2 linked regions of the Nothobranchius furzeri genome follow. Each later gene encodes a partner of the first gene's protein in a complex. Links are inferred from orthologs where the notes say so. Each region holds a gene or a part of one and is shown in the gene's direction. Other genes may lie near its edges. The genes, in order: sympk and ssu72.

Evidence for each region.
Region 2: the proteins of sympk (region 1) and ssu72 are in contact, whole or in part, in a crystal structure (PDB 4H3K), measured with the Homo sapiens proteins. The link is inferred for Nothobranchius furzeri from reciprocal best matches to the Homo sapiens genes SYMPK and SSU72. Residues at the interface, in NP_004810.2 of Homo sapiens: Val123, Lys127, Leu131, Gln135, Asp175, Asn176, Asp177, Gly178, Thr181, His182, Lys185, Glu188, Pro204, Arg205, Arg206, Gln207, Ser250, Ile251, Thr254, Thr255, Asn262, Ala290, Ser292, Gln293, Ser295, Ser296, Lys299, Asn300, Leu303, His304; in NP_054907.1 of Homo sapiens: Glu113, Tyr116, Asp117, Val120, Asn124, Glu127, Gln128, Glu129, Thr130, Cys131, Gln132, Pro133, His135, Asp167, Glu169, Asn170, Asp173, Gln177, Glu180, Thr186, Phe187, Leu188, His189, Thr190, Val191, Phe193.

What each region holds. Positions count from the first base shown.
Region 1 is NC_091747.1:24,055,592-24,067,048, reverse strand, and holds the start of sympk (symplekin), read left to right. Parts: upstream 1-3,940; 5' UTR 3,941-4,069; intron 4,070-4,388; 5' UTR 4,389-4,454; coding exon 4,455-4,514; intron 4,515-5,516; coding exon 5,517-5,582; intron 5,583-7,324; coding exon 7,325-7,378; intron 7,379-7,556; coding exon 7,557-7,630; intron 7,631-7,726; coding exon 7,727-7,853; intron 7,854-7,937; coding exon 7,938-8,187; intron 8,188-8,283; coding exon 8,284-8,454; intron 8,455-8,745; coding exon 8,746-8,985; intron 8,986-9,092; coding exon 9,093-9,244; intron 9,245-9,330; coding exon 9,331-9,481; intron 9,482-11,457. Other genes in the region: solute carrier family 35 member F5, read right to left, coding at 1,378-1,459, 1,561-1,623, 2,066-2,215, 2,610-2,744. UniProt on the Homo sapiens protein: Scaffold protein that functions as a component of a multimolecular complex involved in histone mRNA 3'-end processing. Specific component of the tight junction (TJ) plaque, but might not be an exclusively junctional component. May have a house-keeping rule.
Region 2 is NC_091743.1:46,312,575-46,323,984, reverse strand, and holds ssu72 (RNA polymerase II subunit A C-terminal domain phosphatase SSU72), read left to right. Parts: upstream 1-5,893; 5' UTR 5,894-6,048; coding exon 6,049-6,128; intron 6,129-6,751; coding exon 6,752-6,895; intron 6,896-8,113; coding exon 8,114-8,253; intron 8,254-8,360; coding exon 8,361-8,479; intron 8,480-8,573; coding exon 8,574-8,675; 3' UTR 8,676-8,717; downstream 8,718-11,410. Other genes in the region: fndc10 (fibronectin type III domain-containing protein 10), read left to right, coding at 1,004-1,858. UniProt on the Homo sapiens protein: Protein phosphatase that catalyzes the dephosphorylation of the C-terminal domain of RNA polymerase II. Plays a role in RNA processing and termination. Plays a role in pre-mRNA polyadenylation via its interaction with SYMPK.

The sequences.
Region 1 (11,457 bases):
CAGCGAGACACTTCCACAGGTGATTAAAGGGTTTAAAGCTAGAAGCTAATTACATTTATTTCCAAAAACAGAGTTCAAGTATGTAGATCATAATTTATCATTCATTTTTGATTGATTTATTATTTAAAGAGTAGTTCTGAGGACAAAGTTTAATTATTTGTGTATTTTGATTGACTAATGCCTGCCCCCTGCTGGTAAAACCTGAACAGAATCATCCCTATTTCTAATTAAATCTTAACATCAGTTTTACTCGCATGACCCCAAAAGAACAAAAGGCAGAAACCGGTAGAAAAGTGATCTAGTCACTCTCAGAGCCAAGAGGTGAAAAATAACAATAGAAGCACTAAAAACAACAAGGACTTAGAAAACTCAGTAAATGGAAACCACACGTTACAGCATTTGTGAATTAAATAAATGTGCATGAAGGAGTTTTGGGAGGTAGCCCCTGTCTGGAGCCAAAAATGTGACTCATTTAAAAGTAATTTTAATTTCATCCTGACAAAAATAATAAAATAAATTAAAAAGTCCTCTCTGCACCACTAGTTGAACCGAAGTAACAACCTATCAGCAAACAGAGGAAGAATATTTCTGCTGAGATTTTCTCCATTTCAAACAGATTCAATGTTCTGTGACAACAGGTTCAGGTTAACCCTTCCACTGTCTTAATGAGTGACCCCGCCAGGAAAGTTGACCACTCAGCAGGACTGATGGTTTATCCCTTGAGGTCCACGTGGCAGGGGTGAGGTGGTGCTCACTCCTCATTCCTGCCATGTGGACCTCAAGGGATAAACCATCAGTCCTGCTGAGTGGTCAACTTTGCTGGCGGGGTCACTCATTAAGACAGTGGAAGGGTTAAAGTGCGCCTGAAGCACAAAAGCAGGTAGAAATGACTATTTGTTATTTCTACAGCAGGAAGTAACAATGAATGTGCAGCCAGCAGCTTTGTTGTCATTTCAGAAAAACCAAGAGTTTTCATCCACACGTGGGTAAACGGCATTTAAAACCTCCACTTGTGAAGGTGATTTAGGAACACAAAAAAATGGAGTTGTTTACTCTTTACTCTGATTATGTTCTCATAAACACAGGTTTCTTGTATATTTTCACTTCTGGATGATTTTTTCAGCAGTGATGTGACACGAACTCTAAATATGTAAATATGCAACTTTTTCACTCGTCTCAGAGCAAATTCTATTTACTCTAATAATTTTCTGTTTCAATTTCAAAAATGTTCAAAGCCTCAGAAACGCCCCATTAAAATGCAAGCGTTTTCTATTATTTAAAGCCTTAGTAAGAAGAAATAAATAAATCTAAAAAAAGAGACTATGAATTATGTTACCTTGTTTATAATAAAAAAATTAAATTAGCGTCTGTACTCACAAGTTTCACAGTCTCGATTTAAACAATCAGAGAAATCAGTGGGTACATCCTGGAACTTCACTGGGACATACAGGGGTTCACTCTGCAACCATGACAAGAACAATCAGCTCCAAAGCATACCAAGACTACTTGGAGTTCGGCATTAAATGCACAATTATTCAAAATTTTCTCTAAACTACATACCAAACAGTTGTTCACAGTGTTGTCGTTGGTGCAGGGTGCAAAGTAAGCCTCAGCATCTGCAAACTACAGGATAAATAGCATCAGCTTCTACAACAAAATCAAGAATTCCTTCTGTGGCTTTGTGTGATGGAGAATGGATTCTACAGGAATCAATGTGTGATGTGTGAAAAATAAAGTCAGTAACCATAAAAGAAAGTGATTTTTTTATCCTGGTGCAGGTTTATACAAACAATGAAACATTACTGTTGTAGTCTAAGGCAATATCACAAAAACCAAAACACTTCCGATCAAAGGTGTGCTGGTGAAGCTTCTCAGTCATCCAGGTCGTGATAATCCAGAAGAGTTCTAATGAAGGCAACTTGACTTCTTTGGTTTCACGAAGATGTTTGTCACTTCTCATTACAAAGTTCCTCGGATGAGAAGTAAAACGTCTTCATGAAACTGAAGAAGTCCAGTTGCCTTCATTTGAACCCTTCTGGAATATCCACCAAAGGGTTTAACTTACAAATGCAGAGTGTCTGTGTTTAAGCGTGCCAGTACACTGCTGCCTCCAGGGCCGCCACAGCAGGAACCCCAGCAGATACAGCACAAACATGGACGTCTTGGTGAAAGTGCTGAAGAAGGGTTTGTTGTATTCCTGTCGCTTGAAGATGTACTAAAGGGAGATTCAGAGAAACAAAATAATTTGTTTTATGTAAGTAAGTACATTTTATTTATATAGCACTTATCACAGACATAGAATCACAAAGTGCTTCACATAGATCAAAACAAAGTCATAAAATCAAAATGCTCTGAAAACAGAATAAGATTAACATCAGAAAAAATAGTCATAAAATCATAAAATTATATGTTGTTGGAAATCCGACACTTTTCCCACGCCAGGTTTATACTCTCCACATCTCACTTCTGATGCTACAACTAACTTTTTTGACTCCGCCTTTAAAAGCAGTTTCACAAAACTGTTTTGCTCAATCACTGTGAACATGTGTAAAGAAATCCACCCAAAACAGCAGGAGTGAAAACCGGACAAGCTGTGATAAAATCCTTACAGAGGTTAACTCAGAGGATGCTACCCAGATGACATCCACCAGCAGGAGGATCACCACCCCCAGGACCATCCGCCTCCGCTGTGCTGCAGAGCTGCTCTGAGAGCTCATCCGGTTCATGACGAACACCCACTCCATCAGGACGCTGAAAAACATCCAGGTGTCAACAGGAAGGCTTCCCTCTCTTTGATGTTTATAAATCATATATTTATTTTATATTATGATCCTGACATAAAAGAGATTTTAATTGTTAAAATGTGTTTTTAAAAATTGTATTTGGAAACAAATCTCTAAAACTTAAAAAATGAGTTGAAATACTTAGAAAATGTTTTGATTTTTAATATGACTCAAACTTAAATGAATAAAGAACACAGTTTACGCAGAACTTAATTAGGTTGAAATGTTTTGTTTTAAAATGTGATGATTTAGGTTTTCATGCAGAAAATTGTGTACGTTTGTTAAAATAAACTGATTTTGTCAGCAATGCATAGAAAATACAACAACATTGTTTATCACAGCCAGAGCATTCAGAGGACAGACTAAAAACTAATTACACTAAATGAGGAATTACATCGAACAAGCAGGAAGCTCTAAAAGAAACTGCTGTTTTCACGTCTTAGCTGTCAAACTCTTACCATCGTTTAAAAAGAATAAGATATATGCCCAAGGTCTGTAATTAAACTTCACTTTTAAACTGAACTTTTGGCCGCATTTCCACCTCATTTGTTTGGGAAAAGGATGTAAACAGAGTCGCTGTTTAGCTGCCTGTTTCACAAGCTAAGCGCTAACAAGCTCGTTGCAGTTATGCGATTAAAAGCGTAAGAAAATGTGATCTTACCTGAAAATGTGACGTAGTCATTTATTTTTTTTACCACTGTTTGATTGTCAGTTCATATTATGGTGCAATATAAACGAAATCACTGTTGTTGCAATGAAACTGTAGTCAGATCTTGGTTGTAAACATTAGCATACCCACCCCTTATCAGTCAGGTGACATCACTTACTGTGCAAAGATTTCTGGGATTTGAAGTCTTAAAAGAAAAAAACTTTGGGATCTTTGTGCCGCTCTAAATATAAAAAGATGGTCTAATGAAATTTTATTAATAACATCTAAAGGTGATTCGTGTCACTAGATTGTTGAGACTGGGATTTTAAGCATTAGTTAATCTTATGAGGCTTTTTAAAGGGACACATTCAAGTTTTAAAGTCAAACCAAGCAAGTATTTGTGCTTAAAATAGAAAGGCAATATAAAAATAAAACAGAAGATGAATTCCCTGTTTTTCTTTTTAGATTTGACTGAATATTTAATATTTTGTTTTTGCATGCTTTTCACTGTAGGTGGCGACAGTGCGCCAAGAGGTTAGAAAAAGAAGTAGGGGTACGAAGAAGAAGAACAAGAAGAAAGCGGCTTCTTTTCCGCGCTAATAGGTTTTTCCCATTTATGTAATGGAAAATATACTAAGTAAGTGCGTTTCTCTTACGGAACATATATAATTTCTACATGAACACAAAAACAGGTCTGTTAAGTGGCGTACGTTTGTCAAATAATGTTAAAGCTGCTATTGAAGTTAGCAATGCGGTTAGCATGGAGGTGCTCGCTGACTAGCATCACAGAACGAAGCTAGTAATGTTGAAATAATGTCAATTAAAGCCTTATTAATGTGCGTAGGTGGGAGGGAAGCGTTTATTGTTTTACAACTAAGTTTTCTTCTCACCGTCACTGTAATTGGTTTAGCTTAATTCATGTTTTAGTGTAAATATTGCAAACATTTTGTTTCTAGAATCTGACGTTTATTGGAGTTTTTAAAACCTTGCCGTCAGGACTGTGAGACACACAAAGCAGCAACATGGAGCTTTCTTCAGTGGAGGAGGGAACTCCCAGCGTCAACATCACCACAAGTGAAAAGGTAAATTAGACAAACACTCACGAATAGAGCATCCCCGGTACGGCACTGAACATTTCTTCATGCAACATAGTTTAAAGAGGGACACCATAGCACTGAGATCACTGTCTTGATTAATAGTCTGTAATGTCTTTTTTATTATTCAATAAGATTATTTTAATTATATTATTTTCCCCCTTCAGATTATGGGATGTACAAGTTAAATATACATGAATTAATATATTTTCTAATAATTACTGTTTCCATGTTGGTGTCGAGGCTTTAGAAAACTTTCTGTTATGCTGACTGTGATGTGGTTCCAGAATCTTACATACTGTGTTTTCCTCCAAAAGAATTTCATCTTTTCATTTTGTTTTTAATTTAAAGTTTAAATTTGTGAGTTGAATAATTTCCAATAACACCAGACTTTAACCAGCAGTCACTGGTTGTTCAAACTAGTTGTTTGTTGTTGTGTGTGAGAGTGTTTTGCTCTCCTGTACAGCACTTTGGTTAGCTGCCATGCTATTTCTAAATATACTTTATAAATAAACTGCTATGGTCTGGTAAATACATCTAGCTCAGTTTGTATTAATAAAAACAACTATTATTTTTAGGGATTTTGATTGAATTTCCTTTTTAATGAGCCTATAAATGTCAGTTCACTCTAACATACATATTGTAGATGTAGATGACCCCAACATTTAGGAAGGTTCTTCAACAGAGGCTCACATCTGTGGACTGAGGTTTAAGATTGAGTGTCTCATTATTGCCTTTAAAGCCAATGGCTATGACCAGAATCATAGTCACTTGGATGGAAAATTAAAGCAGTTTTACTCCAACTAACCCATGTCACAGTAAAGTCACCTATATCTCCGAGTATGGGGCAACTTTTGTTAAACTGCAAAAATTGTCTTTTCTAATAATAACAACTCAGTTATTTGTTTTAGTCGTGTACCAGTTGTGTTTTTACTTAAAAGTAAATCTGCTTTGAAAGAGAAATTCACTGGGTTTTCTTTTTCCTTTCAGGTTGTGGAGCTGCTGAATCAAGCTGCTCTGATGCCAACTGATGAAAAGCTAACAATTCTCAAACAGGTTTGCTGTCTAATTATTGCTGCAAGTACCAACTAAAACACACAAAAATTACAATAACTTAGAACATTCCAGATCTATGATATTTTGAATAAATAATCTGTATTCTAAAGGTTTCTCCTGCTTTTAACATGCTCAACATATAATCTGGCCCTCAATATTAGAGGTGTGAATCTTCACTTGTCTCCCGATTCGATTACGATTATTGGGTCAACGATTCAATTCGATCCGATATCCCGATGCATCACGATTATTTCATATTGATTTGTTTTCATCGATAAATAGAAGATGTCAGATAATTGCTTTTTTTTTAATCAAAAACGTAATTGATACAACCTGCCATCCCTCAAAATCTCTCCATTCACAACAGGTTAGGACAAAACATTTAAGAAGATTTAACAAAGTAAAACAATCTGTTTCCTCGTTCAACACCACGCCTCAGGCTGAGAAAACATGCTTTACAAAATCTCACAAAATCTAAAAAAGTACTGAAAACCCACAGGACACAACATAATGTAGTAATAAAATCCATAATGGGTTCATATATGAGTGTTTAATGTCTCTGAGCAGCTCTAGAGTCAAATATTTATGCTGCAGTTGAAGGGTGTCAGAAATAACACCAAATGAAATGTTTGACTTAGTTTATTTTATTTGAACCCAGTGGTTCGTTTCTGAAATGTTGGAGAATGAATCAAGTTCTGTTTGATGCAGAAAATAATAAAACATAAAACAAATTCTACACTTCCAATAATATTTAAGATGTGTGTTTTATTCTTCCTGATAATAACACCAGCAGAAGGCTGTGGGCTGGATTAGGATTAAAATACCCAGCTGATAGATCTCTTTCACTAACCAGCTAACTACAAACCTTTCCAGTAACCTGTCCTGTGTCACCCTCACCATGTAACCGTCATGTCCATGCTGTCTCTGGAGGAGCAGATATGAGACAAGTCTCCTGTAACCTAAAATGAACCAAAGCTTCCTCCCAGCTTCTCTTTAAGCTGAAGCTAACATCAGTTTATCATCATGAAACAAAAGAATAAAGTGGAACAAGAACTTCTTTCTTCTATTTCTCTCTCCTTTTAACTTCTCCGTGTCCCTAAATAAAAGAGACAGACGATCACGCTGCAGCCGCCGTCATTGACCCCGCCCCCTCCCCCGAGACCGGATCTCCCAGCATTACAACACTTGGTCTGACTGAGCGCTTCCAGGAGAAAAAAAATTAAATTATGAAAATAATAATGCGTGTTTGGAGCATCGCTTTGGAGGGGCGTCCTCCGATCCTCTCGTGTGAGCGGACAGTCTCTCTCTCTCTCTCAGTCGCTGAGAGAGCGGAGCGCGCCGCGTGACAACCCGCTCAATTAACATATTTCACGGCCCAAATCCAACAGAACCGGTCGGGCTGATTTGGTTCCGGTTCGGTCTCAGGTTACAACTCAAGCGCTCAGCCCTGCAGTACCACATTAATGCGGAACCACTTGGTAAATGTGGAGGACGCTCACTCTGACAGATTTGGATCTGTGCTGGTGCCGCCATTAAAAGAACAAAACTACATTCCACCATAATCGATTATGGCGTACTCTTCTACGATGCAGAATCGTTTATGTCCGCATCCCGATGCATCGATTATTTGATTATTTTCCTCAGCTCTACTCAATATGTGCTGGATTATAATCTATTAATCAAGATCTCTTCAGAAAAAGAAGCTGGAGTAAAACAATTTTGACAATATGAATTTATTTCAGGTTCAGGAGCTTATCATCAACAAGGATCCTTCTCTTCTTGATAATTTTTTGGATGTAAGTATGGGCACATTTAGGATTCCTCATTAAATATAACAAGACAAAAAAAGGATTATTTACTCTCCCTGAGTGAGTCTCAAAACCAAGCTGTCATGTCTCTGGATATTAGAACATGTTATATTTCAGCACACATTGTCTTTTTAACTTACTCTTATTCCCGTGTTTTAAACTGTAGGAGATCATCGCTTTCCAGACCGACAAGTCTATTGAAGTGAGAAAGTTTGTCATTGGGTTTATAGAGGAGGCCTGGTGAGTAATGAAACATCCAACATGTCCAAGCTTAACATTGATCAAAAGAAAAGCAGAACTTTCTCAACCTTTTTTTCCTGTTACTGATTTTTCCAGTAAAAGGGACAACGAGCTCCTGGTCCGACTGATCGCCAACCTGAACATGCTGCTGAAGGATGAGAGCGTTAATGTGGTGAAGAAGGCCATCCTCACCCTCACTCAGCTGTACAAAGTTACGCTACAGGTCAGCGTTCCTGTCCCTGAATTCACCAGCTCGCTCCTTACATCCTCGAGATTCTGATTTCTTTCCTCTTGACTTTCACGCCAGTGGTTGGTGCGTGTCAAAACCATATCGGATATGCAGGAGGCATGCTGGAATTTGGTTACACAAATGACCGGGGACGTTTTGATCCTACTCGACTCTGAGAATGATGGTGTTCGCACGCATGCAATCAAGTTCACAGAATCTTTAATCATCACCTTGTCACCGCGAACAGCTGAGTCTGACGTCCCCAAGCAACAGGAAGGGGGCATCAGCCTGGACAGAGTTCCCAAAGACCATTCCTACATTCGCTACGGTACACATCTTAGGATCTTACTGAGACAAAATGTAATGTTTAAAGCAATTTTGATCACTTTTGAAAGTGTCTTTTGCTGTGTGATCAAATGTACAGATACTTTGTGTGAGGAGGGGAAGACTGCACTTGAGAAGCTGCTGACGTTCATGATCCATCCAGCTATTTCCAGCATCAACCTCACCACAGCGCTGGGCTCGCTGGCAACAATCGCCCGACGGAGACCGATGTTCATGTCCAAAGTGGTCCAGGCGTTTGAGACGCTGCACGGTGAGTCTGGTTCCCAGATCCTTCCCAGGATTAGATATCTGTACGAAAACATGATCGGGTTCTCCTTTTCTTTAGATTTTTCTTCTGAGGAAACCTCAGAAGTTTTTCTTTGGAGTTTGTTTCCTTTAGTCAGTCATTTTCATTACCTTTGACCAATGAAACCCTTCAGGTATAAAAACAGCCCTAAACTCTGATGTTTTCAGACGCAACATATAATTGAATAGGTTCTCGATAGTGGAGGATGTTTTTATCATCAAACTGCAGAATATAATCGATTTATTCTTTTTTTAGCTAATCTACCTCCGACTTTGGCCAAGTCTCAAGTCAGCAGCGTTCGAAAGAATCTGAAGCTGCAGTTGTTGGCGGTCCTCAAGCATCCCTGCAGCCTGGAGTTCCAGGGTCAGATCAGCACTCTGCTGCTGGATTTAGGAATGCCTCAGAGTGAAATAACCCGCTGCACGCCCACACCACGGGAGCAGCGCAAAAGACCTCGTTACGAACAATACACAGAGGGAAAGAAGGTCAAGATAGGTGGGTCACAACCACAGACACTGAATTTTTGGAGGTCAATAGAAAATATTTGACTGGAACAGTTGTGATTGCATCATTCTTCATGAGGACTGTCTGTCTGTACTCAGAGCCAGCTCTCATTGAGGATGACGAGGACAAAGAAGAACCAGCTCCCATCCCTGTCTCAAAGCCAGTTGCTGTTCCAGTTGCACAGTCTGCCATTGACCTCACAGCTGAGTTTCTGCGCCCACTGCTGAACCCCGAGAATGTAGCAAACCTAGTGAGCAACCGCTGCCTTTTTCTGTCTGTTCTCCATCACGTTGTTATCCTGTCTCACAGCTCCTCCCTTTATTCTTCCTCAATCAGGTGCTCATTAGCATGGTGTACCTGCCTGATGTCATGCCAGCATCCTTCCAGGCCACATACACACCTGTAGAGTCAGCAGGCACTGATGCTCAAATCAAACATCTGGCTCGGCTGATGGCAACGCAGATGACAGCAGCTGGAATCGGTCCAGGTTAGCAACAAAATTATGCACCAGAAAACTCCTTTAAGCAGCTGTAGGTAACCAGAGTCTGTGAAAACCACATTTATACAGGAGGTGGATGTGTTTGCAGTTCTGGTCCATTATTGTTCATAATAATGACATTTAATATTTAGAATATTCCATATTTGCTGTTCTTGAATTCTAGATCTCAGCAGCCCAACAGTTAGTTATCATTCCAAAAAAAACTAGAATCTCTCTTATTTAAAGAGCAAGTCACCCCCAAATCAACTTTATTTTTCTGGTAAACCATATACATACCTGCAAACTTGTCGCTTTTTGGCAAAAATCACCGTTTTAGAATCCAAATGTGGCGTTCACGTGAATTGTGTAGATCCAAAGGGTTTTTTTTTTTTTTGAGAGGAGGGGTCTTCTGTCGGGTTTCAGTCCCTCTTCTGAAAGTCAATCATAGAAAAGAAAGGGGACTCCTCTTGTTCACAAGCAATCTTTGTTCTAGTGTGTTAGTCACATGTCATCATTTGACCAATCGCAGTCAGACAGCATGCTGCAGCCGATGAGACAGAGCGGCGCTCACAATGAGTGCTGTTGCTCTAACTTCTCACAGCGGTTTTGAGCATAAAATTTGTCAAATGGAACAAAATCACCACTGAAAAACAGTTTTCTGTCGAGGACTTTAGCAGATTTACCTTTTTAGATTTTCCCCAAGGCTGGTCGTGTTTTTTTTTTTTGTTTTGTTTGTTTTGGGAGTTGAGTTGGGAGTAAACACCGGCAGTAATATTAGTAACATAAATATAATTTCTGGTAAGAAGTGGCCACCAGCATGCTACAGCCTTACTCGTTTAAAACAAACCCCAGTAAATGGATCTGGGCACCAGAAGATTTAAGGACGCTGGAGGTAATATTGTAACATTTCTGCTGCATTAAAGAGTCGGATCAGCTTTTGCCCTTAGCTGTGGTTTATTAAAGTATTCAAGCAAAAAGCTGAGATAAAGTTACGTTTGCCTGCAGCTGCAGCTCTTTCTAAACATTTAATCACAACAAACTCATCAGAGCAGCTGCACTTATGACCCAAAACCGTTACCTTTAGGGATGATTACTGTATTCTGGAATATTGGAATATTTTCAGATGTGTCCATGTTTGGTGTTGTGAGTGTGAAATAGTCTCATAATAATTCAAAAAATATTTGATGATCCCTAATAATTCTTGATCATTGTTGTGAGGGATATTTTTTTCTTTTCTCTGAGCAGAGACTGCTAAACCTCATGGTAGAAAAAAGGGTCGCATCTAGCAAAAAATCATGTTGTTGAGTTTATTTTAATTATTCCAACAAGAAGAATATAAATGTCAGAGCAAGCCACTACAAACCCCACAGACGGTGTGTGTGTGTGTGTGTGTGTGGGGGGGGGGGGGGCGTGGGGGGGGGTCACCTTTTTCACACCCTCTGAGTATGCAGGTATGTATATAAATGAGTGTCTCATTGTGCTGTAAACACATGTAGTCAATAATTTGGCATTTTAGTGCATCTTAGTTCAAGTTTAAATATTCTGCTTAAAGCCTAATTTATACTTCTCCGTCAGCTCCACCAGGGAGAGACACGCACACACAGATGGAGACAATTTGCCCTCATGCTTCTCCGTCTCCTGGGGAGCGTTGCAAAGCAATTCCCTGCCAGGGCACCGGAGGGCATAGCGCTGTGGTATCCTGTCTTGTATCCGGTCCAAGATGGTGTTTTTTTTTTTTTTGTTTTTTTTTTTTTTTTGTATTTAAGAGACTTTTTAACACGGACAAATTTGTCCCTCATCCTCCTCCGCCTCTTCATGTGCTCGCCACCTCTAAACTAGGGCCCGACCGATATATCGGCCGGCCGATATTATCGGCCGATATACGGGTCATTAACTCTATCGGCTATCGGCCAAAAAGACGGCCGATATGGCCGATATAGCGCTACCTATCCAGCAGATGGCGCCAGCTTTATGAACTCATGTTG
Region 2 (11,410 bases), on another chromosome or scaffold:
TGATGAAGATACACACCTGTACTGATGACTGATGGAGATACACACCTGTACTGTTGACTGATGAAGACACACACCTGTACTGATGACTGATGGAGAAACACACCTGTACTGTTGACTGATGAAGACACACACCTGTACTGATGACTGATGGAGAAACACACCCATACTGATGACTGATGGAAATACACACCTGTACTGTTGACTGATGAAGATACATACCTGTACTGATGACTGATGAAGACACACACCTGTACTGATGACTGATGGAGATACACACCTGTACTGCTGACTGATGGAGATACACACCTGTACTGAAATCCATGGCACATGACAAACGAAGCCCTTTGACTTACATTCCTTTTTCCGTTTTTCCAGGGACCCATGGTCTGGAAGTGGGCACAGCTATGGCTCCCTATGTGGGAGAACCTGACCAGTTTAATACACTGTTATGAAGATTTTGAGACTGACATTTCAATCCAAGTTTGTCCTTCTTGTTTAGAGCTGATATCAATCTAGTCAGAATTGTTTCTCCAAACTGTGGTTGTTCATAACCACCTTGTGTTCCCTACTGGCTGACACCTGTAGCCCTGAGTGGGTCGATGACTCACTGACTGCTGATGACTACAAATATTTTGTGCGCGCTCCCCACGCTCCCATGCACTGCGCGCGCTCTCCCACGTGCACACTCATAGAGCACATCAAAGCTTTTTTACGTCAGGGCAGACAGGAAGAAGAAAGCACATCTGATGGATGGATAGTTGGGATCTCTGTCCTACAGAAATAGGTGAGTGATTAAATATGCCAGTGAGATGCGAGCGCGCGCCCAGGTTGTTAATTTAATCCTGCAGTTTTTTTTTTTATCCTCTGCAACATCTCTGCCTTAAACGCTGTCTGTGAATTGTTTCAAGGCCACAAGAAGAGCTGATCTCATGGCGGACATCAGCCTGTCTCGGTGTGCCATCGCCCATCTGATCCACTGTGAGTGAAAATAATCCGACCAGAGATGACCGAGCAGCACCGCACATCGCTGCTCGCCCTGTCGGTACTCCTGCTCTGGTGCACATCAGTACACCAGACAGGCAGCAGCTCATCATCTTCGTCCCCATCCAGGAAAACTGTCAACCAGCATCAACTCGCTGCATCAGCGAAGATTCAGGAGAACGCAGGTCACGTGATTAATTCTTCTCTCACGTCAGAGAGATCTGGACCGGGTCCAGATGAAGGGGTGTCACCGGTGTGTGCCTACAGGGTGATTGAGGGGGGGATTTGGGGACAGCTTTGTTTTCGACAGACGCTGTTTGGGTACAAGTGTCTCAAGGAGGACTGCAGGTCACAAGTGTCTTTGGGGAGTCTGGTGGCGAACATCCTCATCAACGGCAGCGTACTGTTACAGTGGAGCCACGGGGGGGACAAGAACCGGGACAAAAAGAATCTTAACGGGACAAACGCGACACGACTGCACGCTGTTTTCGGTGAACGGCGCCACCGGCGTGCAGGCTATGAGCTGAGTTGCTGGTGGAACGGGAGCTACACCCAGTTCGAGTGCGCGAGTGTCCATCTTGGATCTGGCTGCAGGGACTTCCTCCTGTCCGACCTGCACGAGAACATCCCATACCGAATCTGTCTGCGCTCCTCACCGGCCCGGTCCGACCCGGATCAGGGAGAGCCGCGAGACTGCGTGGAGTTCACGCTGCCGCCGTCCGGGATGCAGGACATTGTGATCGCCATGACAACGGTGGGAGGGGCTATATGCGTGATGCTGGTTATCATTTGTTTGCTGGTGGCATACATCACAGAAAATCTCATGAGTCCCACCGCGCAGCACGCGTACTCTTACCGTAGTCACACACGTCACTAATGCCAGAGAAGATCACGTAAACACGTGTCATTGTCAGCAGGATAGTATCCTGACGCACAATCTGTTCTGAAAAGAACAAGCCCCGCCCACCTCTGGCAGGGTGCACGAAACCAAAACAACTGTTATGATCTCTGGTCTTAGCAGGCCCATTAAACAGCAATACACTGACGGCCCCATGACATGGTTTTGGGTCTTGTGACAGAAATGGTTTTGTTGATGTCTCTGAGAGAATTCTTGTTGACATCCACAGGAACAACGTTCTGAATGAAACTTTTCACCCAATCATCAATGTCTGGTATTGCTTTTAGATCTGCATGTATTTGTATTTGTAAAGGGCAATACTAGTGTACAATCCTAATACTGTGCCAAGCATCATGAGCTAGATTTCTTTTGTCTTATTGACTAAAAATAAAAGAGGTCCCTTTTAATATTTTACAGCTGTTCTTATTGTTCTCTTTGTGAGAGAGTGATTCAGCTTTAGTTACATCCAGAGTGAGGTTTCTCACCAAGACCCAACGAAGAGGACGAAGGATGAGCACAAGATGCTGTGACATTTATGTTTGTGAGCATCAGATAACTAATGCTATTTAAACGTGCAGCTGCTAGAAGGAAACTTTGTAAATCAAAAGAAGTTAACGTCGTCGTCGTCCGCTAATCCGGGTCCGGGTCACGGGGGCAGCATCCCAGCAAGGGAACTCCAGACCGTCCTCTCCCAGCCCATCTCCACCAGCTCCTCCGGCAGGACCCCAAGGCGTTCCCGGACCAGATTGGAGATGTAACCTCTCCAACGTGTCCTGGGTCGACCCGGGTGCCTCCTGCCGGCAGGACATGCCCGAAACACCTCCCCAGGGAGGCGTCCAGGAGGCATCCTGACCAGATGCCCAAACCACCTCAACTGGCTCCTTTCGATCCGGAGGAGTGGCGGTTCTACTCTGAGTCCCTCCCGAATGTCTGAGCTCCTCACCCTATCTCTAAGGCTGAGCCCGGCCACCCGGTAAATCAAGAGCTTGGCTTTCTGGCTCAGCTCCCTCTTCACCACGACAGATCGACTCACCGTCCGCATCACTGCAGACGCCAAACCAATCCGCCTGTCGATCTCCCGGTCCCTCCTACCCTCACTCGTGAACAAGACTCTGAGATACTTAAACTCCTCCACTTGAGGTAGGATCTCTCTCCCTCTCTCAGCCACCCTTTTCCGGTCGAGAACCATGGTCTCAGATTTGGAGGTGCTGATCCTCATCCCAGCCGCTTCACACTCGGCCGCGAACCTACCCAGCAAGAGCTGAAGGTCAGAGCTGGATGAAGCTAGGAGGACCACATCATCTGCGATAAGCAGAGACGAGATTCTCCTGCCACCAAACTCGAAACACTCCACACCACGGCTGCGCCTAGAAATTCTGTCCATAAAGGTAATGAACAGAACCGGTGACAAAGGGCAGCACTGGCGGAGTCCAACCCTCACCGGCAACAGGTCCGACTCACTACCGGCTATGCGGACCAAACTCACGCTCCTCTGGTAAAGGGACTGAATGGCCCTTAACAGAAAGCCACCCATGCCATACTCCTGGAGCGTCCCCCACAGGGTGCCCCTGGGGACACGGTCATAAGCCTTCTCCAAATCCACAAAACAGATGTGGATTGGTTGGGCAAACTCCCATGCCCCCTCCATCACCCTTGCAAGGGTATAGAGCTGGTCCACAGTTCCACGGCCAGGACGAAAACCACATTGCTCCTCCTCAATCTGAGATTCAACTATCGATCGGACCCTCCTCTCCAGTACCTTGGAGTAGACCTTTCCAGGGAGGCTGAGGAGTGTGATCCCCCTATAGTTGGAACACACCCTCAGGTCACCCTTCTTAAAGATGGGGACCACCACCCCGGTCTGCCACTCGACAGGAACTGCCCCCGATAACCCCGCAATGTTGCAGAGACGTGTCAACCATGACAGCCCTACAACATCCATAGCTTTGAGATACCCAGGACGAATCTCATCCTCCCCCGGGGCTCCGCCGCGGTGTAGTTGTTTGACAAACTCAGCAACTTCTGCCCCCGAGATTGGACAGTTCATCCCCAGGTCTCCCGTCTCTGGTTCCTCCTCGGAATGCGCGTAGGTGGGAGGAGCTCCTCAAAGTATTCCTTCCACCGTCCGACTATAGCCCCAGTTGACATCAGCAGCTCTCCATCCCCACTGTAAACAGTGTGAGCGAGTTGCTGCCTCCCTCTCCTGAGGCGCCGAACAGTTCGCCAGAACCTTTTTGGAGCCGATTGATAGTCTTTCTCCATGGCCTCACCAAACTCTTCCCACGCACGAGATTTTGCCTTGGCAACTGCCACTACTGCTGAAGAAGTTAACATCCAGACAAAAATGTATTGAATGAATTTTATTCTTTTGAAATCCAATTTGTTTAAATAAAGAGGGTTAAACCTAAAATGAAGCCTATTTCTGCAGCCAGCCACTATGGGTCAGAGAGAGCCATGCAGGCAATAATGGTTTCATAGCATTTCTTGTCAGTTGTACCTAATCCATGTTATAAACATCAAACAAGGACCTATCACAGGGCCTGCAACTGCTGCTCTGAATCATGTGGTTCAAAACTTTGACTAAGTGACTTGAATCTGAGTGATGTTTACATTCAAACTGACAATAAAGGAAATTGTTGGCAATTATCCCAATAAAATGCTTTTTTTGCAACATTCATGAGCAGCAGCATGACACTGACAGCACTAGTGAATTGCTCTTGGCAATGCAGTTTTATTTTTAAATCAGAAATCAATTTTTTTTCACTGAAGTTCAGTAACGTCACGATAGCAAGTAGTTTTCTGACCCACAGGACTTATATTACAGTATATAGCACCAAATCATCTAAATTATACATTGCAATACAGTTCAGTTCATTAAGGCAATCAGTTGCATTGAGTCACTGACTCGTGTCAGTGTCTTTACAGAAATCCTCATACTAAGCAAACATGCAGCAACAGTGGAGAGAAAACTCCCTTTTAACAGGAAGAAACCAGAGGATCCTGGCTCAGTATAAGCAGCCATCCGCCAAGACTCACTGGGGATCGAGAAGACAGAGCAGACACACACACACACACACACACACACACACACACACACACGCACGCACACACACACACACACACACACACACACACACACACACACACACACGTAGGGAAATGTGTGCGTTGCCACAGTGAACTATGTGACGTTACCTGTAATGAAGTGACCACAAATGTAAAAAAATAAGAGAAGACACTATATACAACAGTAGTTCTTATGCAGACACATTATAGTGTCTGCATAAGAACTACTGTTGTATATAGTGTCTTACTATAACACTATTCACACACACACACACACACACACACACACACACACACACACACACACACACACACACACACACACACACACACACACACACACGCTCGCACACATATATGTGTGTGTGTGTGTGTGTGTGTGTGTGTGTGTGTGTGTGTGTGTGTGTGTGTGTGTGTGTGTGTGTGTGTGTGTGTGTGTGTGTGTGTGTGTGTGTGTTGTCTAATAGAAGCGCTGGGTGGTTCTTAAATAAAACAAATTTTACTCCACATTATCATTATTATTACTTTGTGAAAAGTTAATCCAAGTATTAAAAAACGTTTAAATATCATTTTCTAGTACTTCAAGTAGATTTCTAACATGCAAACCTCTGTTGCATACCTTCTGCAATAAACTGAAATGGAAGAAGCACTGCGACTGCTTTAAAGACATGAAATGTTTACCCTTAGCCTTTACTTTTTGTTTCTCTTTTATAAAATATTTGATCCTCATTTCATCCACTTAGGTCTGATAAAGGTGTGTAATTTGATTTGACTGAAAGTGACATGTTTGTGTATTGTTGATCAGGGCTTTATTAAATTATTACAAATTTTTTAAATCCAGTACTTCCTGTTTTACTGACTGCCCACACGAAAGCTCCGCCTACTGATGACATCATCCTAGAAAGCCCCCTTCCCGAACCGCTGTTCCGCCATTTTAACTTCCTGCCTGAGAAGAAGACGAACGTACTTCAGTGTTACATCTCTAGACGCAATTTAGGTTACCTTAGACAGGTGTTTATCTTGTATTTTACCCGCAGAAAGGCAACTAATAAATCCGTGTTAGTTTCTGAAGTGTTTGTGACCGTTTCAGCCGGAGAGTCGCAATGCCGAGCCACCCGCTGCGTGTAGCGGTTGTGTGCTCGAGCAACCAGAACCGCAGTATGGAAGCGCACAATATCCTCAGGTAAAGACGAGCCACCGGGGAGATGACAGCAGCAAAGCCACCACGAAGAGAACGACATGTATTTTCCTCTGCCGGTCACAAGCTGTACCGGCGGCACCATGACAGGCCTAACGCAGTTTAACAATGGACACACACTTCTCCGAGTGCCCCACCGGGGATGTAGCTCACCCCAAAACACTGCTTTGACTGGGTTTGAGGGCTTGTCTAAATTAGTCAACTACACAGGTTTTAGTGTCCGTTACAGTTTCAGAGATTTCTTTTAAAAAATCGCTTTAGTTTTTTACCTACATGTGGACAACAGCGCCCCCTGGAGGGGAACATTCCGGAAGAAGACTACAGTTGTGCAACACAAGTTGATGTTCAGTCACGTGATTCGATGCTTTAAGATTGAGAAGGATTTTTTTAAATGAAGGGCGTTTTCTTGTTCAGATTAATTCAGCTCCGAAGTTCTCATGGAACATTTTTAGCTGAGTTAATAAATCATTTAGTTACTCTAAACAGCACAGATGGAAGAAACTGACCCAAAATTTACAGAAATCCTGACTTTGCAGCTTAAAGATTTACATCCTGCTGTCTTATGTTACTTTCTCACACCCTTAACTCTTGTCCTTCTCTTTCTGCAGCAAGCGTGGATTTGACGTGCGATCGTTTGGGACGGGGTCTCACGTGAAGCTACCCGGTCCCTCCCCGGATAAACCCAATGTGTACGACTTCAAAACTACTTATGAACAGATGTACAACGACTTGGTCCGCAAGGACAAGGAACTGTATCCCCTTGACACTCACCCTTTTCCCCCCTCACACATAACTAAACATGACTTGTGTAACATGTGATGTAGGTGGTGGTCTTGGGACAGCACATGCGATGGGAGGTCACCGGTGGGTAAATGACATGCTGGAACTAAGAACAGTTGGTTGCATGGTTATTAAATGAGGTAGGGTCTGGCTCCAATACAGTAATGAGCTGTTAGACTAGCATCTACGGTGAGAGGATCGCACTGAAATCCGCTGGTGTGAATCCACTTTGTTCACATGTATCTGGCTGTGTTTTTATCCCTGTTCTTTGCTCTTTTCTGTCATCTGCACTAGTCAGCATCAGCTGGAGTCTATCCAGTAAAATCTGGAGGAGGGGTCAGGAAAACAGGGGGGGGGATGAGCTTTAAAATGACCTACATGGGGAAATTATCCTGCCACAAGCCAAAAATAATAACAGGAGCAACAGATGAGTCAAGTGTTCTATAATATTTAAGCCTTTTAAATTGGGGTTGAACACAAACTGGTCTGAATATGTGTTAAAGTCTCAAGAGTAATCTGAGTAGAATAAAGACTTGAGTGTTTATCACTACTAGTTATTTATATTAGTACCTTTCATAGTTCAACTGGGGTCTCCACTAACAAGATGTAAAATACATTTTTCTAGTTAATTTTGTTTTAAAAACTTATTTTATTAGACTCAATATTTATGTGCAGAGGCCTTTTGTGAGCTTAAGAGACCTGAAGGCGTCACATATGTGCTTAATCTACTTGCATCTTCAGTGGTGAGGGTGTGCTTTCAGGTAGCTTGTGGTAAGTTTGGCTCAAATCTTTTTTTTTTTCCTACATTCTTTGTAAATCCCAACATGTCCCAATAGAAAATACGGTTTTGCCCCTTTTGTGGTGGATAAGACCGCTGGCATTGAAAACAAAGTGAAATTAGAATAAAAAATGTTATAACTGATAGTATCAGTGTGGCCTTTGAACATTTGGGTATTAAAAATGCCTCAGCAGTTCGCTTGCTGTCTTCCAGAAATGATCTAGTTATTTAATTGACTTCTTACTGGTGTCACCACTAGAGGGTGCTACAGTGCGAGTCCCTCACACACCATTTAAAACACTGAGTAGGCTGAGAAAGCACCTGTTTACTGTCATCTTATATTTAATAGTGTGACAGTTTGCCTGTATTGCTGCAGTTCCTGCTGCTGTGTTCCTTGACCTTTACTCATCAGCTACACACAGAATGGCATCCTGCACATGCTGGACCGCAACAAACGCATCAAAACCAAACCAGAGCGCTTTCAGCTATGCAAAGACAAGTTTGACCTGGTCGTCACCTGTGAAGAGAGGGTCTATGACCAGGTGTTGGAGGGTGAGGATTTTCATGGGAAAAGCCTGATTTTGTCTTTTGCTGCTCTCAGAAGTTGTTTTTTTATTACAGAAAATTACATGTTAATGTTTTTCTTTTTTTCGTTCTAGATTTGAACTCAAGGGAGCAGGAGACGTTGCAGCCCGTGCATGTAATCAATGTAGACATCCAGGACAACCATGAAGAAGCCACGTTAGGTGCATTTCTCATCTGTGAGCTGTGTCAGTGTGTAAGTTATTTTAGATTTTTTTTTTATGAAGTGACCGTTAAGTGTGTGTTATGTACAAGTTGTGTTGATGACGCGTCTGTCATCATCCCTGCAGATCCAGCACACCGACGATATGGAAAATGAAATCGATGAGCTCGTACAGGAGTTTGAGGAGAAGAGCAACCGGCCCTTTCTTCACACTGTTTGCTTCTACTGATACACTTTAGAAATTTGCAATAAAACACACACTTGGATCCCAGTCAAACAGAATATGTACAGACAGTTACATGTATGACAGTGTAAAGGCACTGTGCATCTGCACACACACACACACACACACACACACAGCTCTGCTTCAGGATCTGTTAGACTTATAAAGGTTGGTAATTTCCTCTGTGCAGAGGATGGACTTGCTGCTCTCCTTATGCCTTCATTCCTCCAGACTGAGCTTTGGTAAAGGTTCTGCCCCTGATCTCGGTCAAATCAAATCACTGAACCATGTCCCCTCAGGAGAGCCATAACACACACACACACACACAGTTTTAGCAGGTTCTCTGCAAGTCCTCTTCATTCTAAGTGGCATAATTGTGCTGATTGCGGATGGCTTTTCATCTTAATCAGTACTGTAAATTTTTCAAGATGAGAGGTTTTTAAGTTGGGCCATACTAGATGTGTTTACATGCAGGAGACATGGTAACTGAATTGTATTTTTGTTCACGTTGTGTTATAGATGCGTTATGATTAAGTTAAGGTGGGCTGATGAACAACCAAACCAAGACCTTCTCTAGTATGGACCCGTTATAATATGCTGATTTCATATTTAAGCTCTCAAATGCATTGTTTTTTTCCCCCCTCCAGAGCATAGCTTGTTTTTCCTTTTGTAAATGTAAAGAATTTAAGCTTTGTAATTATTTTCAAATGGCAAGTTCAGCTCTGAGTGCCTGATTTTTCTGTATGTATATATGAGTCAACTAAAGAAAGTGACATCTAGACGTTTCGGCGACTCCTGGTTTTGTATTCTCTTATTCAGTCTGAACTTTTGAAAAATATGCGTATTTAGAATCTGGGGCAACTTATTAGCTGTGAATAACTTTAGTTAATCTACAAACTGTTAGGAAGGCACGTGTTTGTGTTAGTTTTGGATGTAGTTTAGAGAATGTGGAATACACTAATGTGGAATAAGTGGATCTAGGTTTAAAAAAAGGCAATTTCTTAAACTGAAATAAGATTTTAAACACTGACCTAAATCCTTTGAGAAAATGGTTGAAAAGTGTTGCAAAAAATCTCTTGAAACTGGAGCACTCGGGCCTTAAAGGGGTACGTCTCTAAAGACAAATAAAGTTTTAACATTTGAATTGTAGTTCTGTGTTTTCAATGAGGGTTTTCATCACTAAACAAATAAAAATATCTAGAAGCAGACAAGTGAAAACCAGCAAACCACTTAGTTTGTATAAAATATAAAACTTGCATTAAGCCTCTTAGAAATGAAGATTTTCAAATACTGTAAATTTAATACGCAGCGAATTTCCCTCCGCGGTAAATAGATCGGACCGGAAGTGACGTCACTGCGGAACTATTTTCTGTGAAAAAGTAACTGATATATTTAATACGAGGTTCACGTCCTCGCCCCCATGTGGGAACAGCAAACCCCTAGAGGTCATTAGTAAATACCAGTAACCTTTTGTTGTGTCAAACTGGGATTTTTCCATCAGACATGAACGCGTTCCTCATCTGACCCTTCCGCTGGTGAGAGGAGGGGAGAGGATCACATCTGTCGATGCAGATGTGTAAGATAAAGTATGCAGCTTGTTCCAGCGAAGAAAGTTTAGTGTTTTCTACGAACTGCTTAAACTGACAGTTTCATTGGAAAGACTTTAAAGTTTTCATTAAGGGATGCAAAACGGCCCCTTGTGCGAGTATTTTAAACGATTTTATTTTGTAACTGTATGAAAATGGTAAATGCGTGTAAAGCTGCAGGATTAACTTAATGGTCGATGACGACAGTTATCAGTTTAATCAATGTTTTATTTTTACTTTAGTTTACAATTTCCTTCTGAAGTTCACCAGTTTAGTTATTTATATTCATATCAGTACCTTTTTAATACACTGATTGATTATTGCATTGTCGGCTATGATGAATTCCGTCAGATTATCTTTTCTCAACTATTTTCTAATTTCTCCTGTTTCCCATGTCATAACAACACCCACCGAGCGAAAACGCACACATTTTCAAACGTTTTGCTGTTGATTCCTGGATCAGTGTCAATAAGTCCATCCCTGTGTGTGTTCAAGTTTCAACTTTGTGTTAAATCAAGTACAGAGTAGACAGAATGCTATGAAATGCCTCTTGCCCTGGCGCTCACTCATTAAAACAAAAATACATTTGGAAAACGATGACATCAGCAGATGATGATGTGCTCTCCTAAGGGGAGGTGGGAGATTCGTGACACCTGATGCTTTCCTCCTGCAGCGGTGGGTGTAGGCGTCCTGCAGCTGGGGTAGTGGTGTACAGATACCTCGGGACAGCTTTAACGGTCCTTGTGATCATGTGCTGTGATGTTCCTACACCAACAGGCTGTCGGACACCTCAGAAAGTAAAGTGGCTGCAGCTCTTTATCACAGAATCTGTGTGCAGACGATCATGAGAGGGAGTCACAGATGACCCAAACATTCAAGTGTGCATACAGAGCTACAGAGGGGTGGAGGATGCCAAAGTTACTTAAATCTCCTCTATAGTCATCTGAAGGTCCGCGCGCGCGCACACACACACACACGCACACACACTGCTCCTGCGTTTAGATTTTCTTCTGCTTTTTGAACTAGTAGTTTGGTTCTGATCAGCTCATCAATGGCTTCACATTTAATACGTTCATTTGTAGTTTTCATCTTAAATTCTGACACAGGTTAGATTGCACTTTAGAGTTTTAGCACTTTTCTTTGCACATTTTTTAC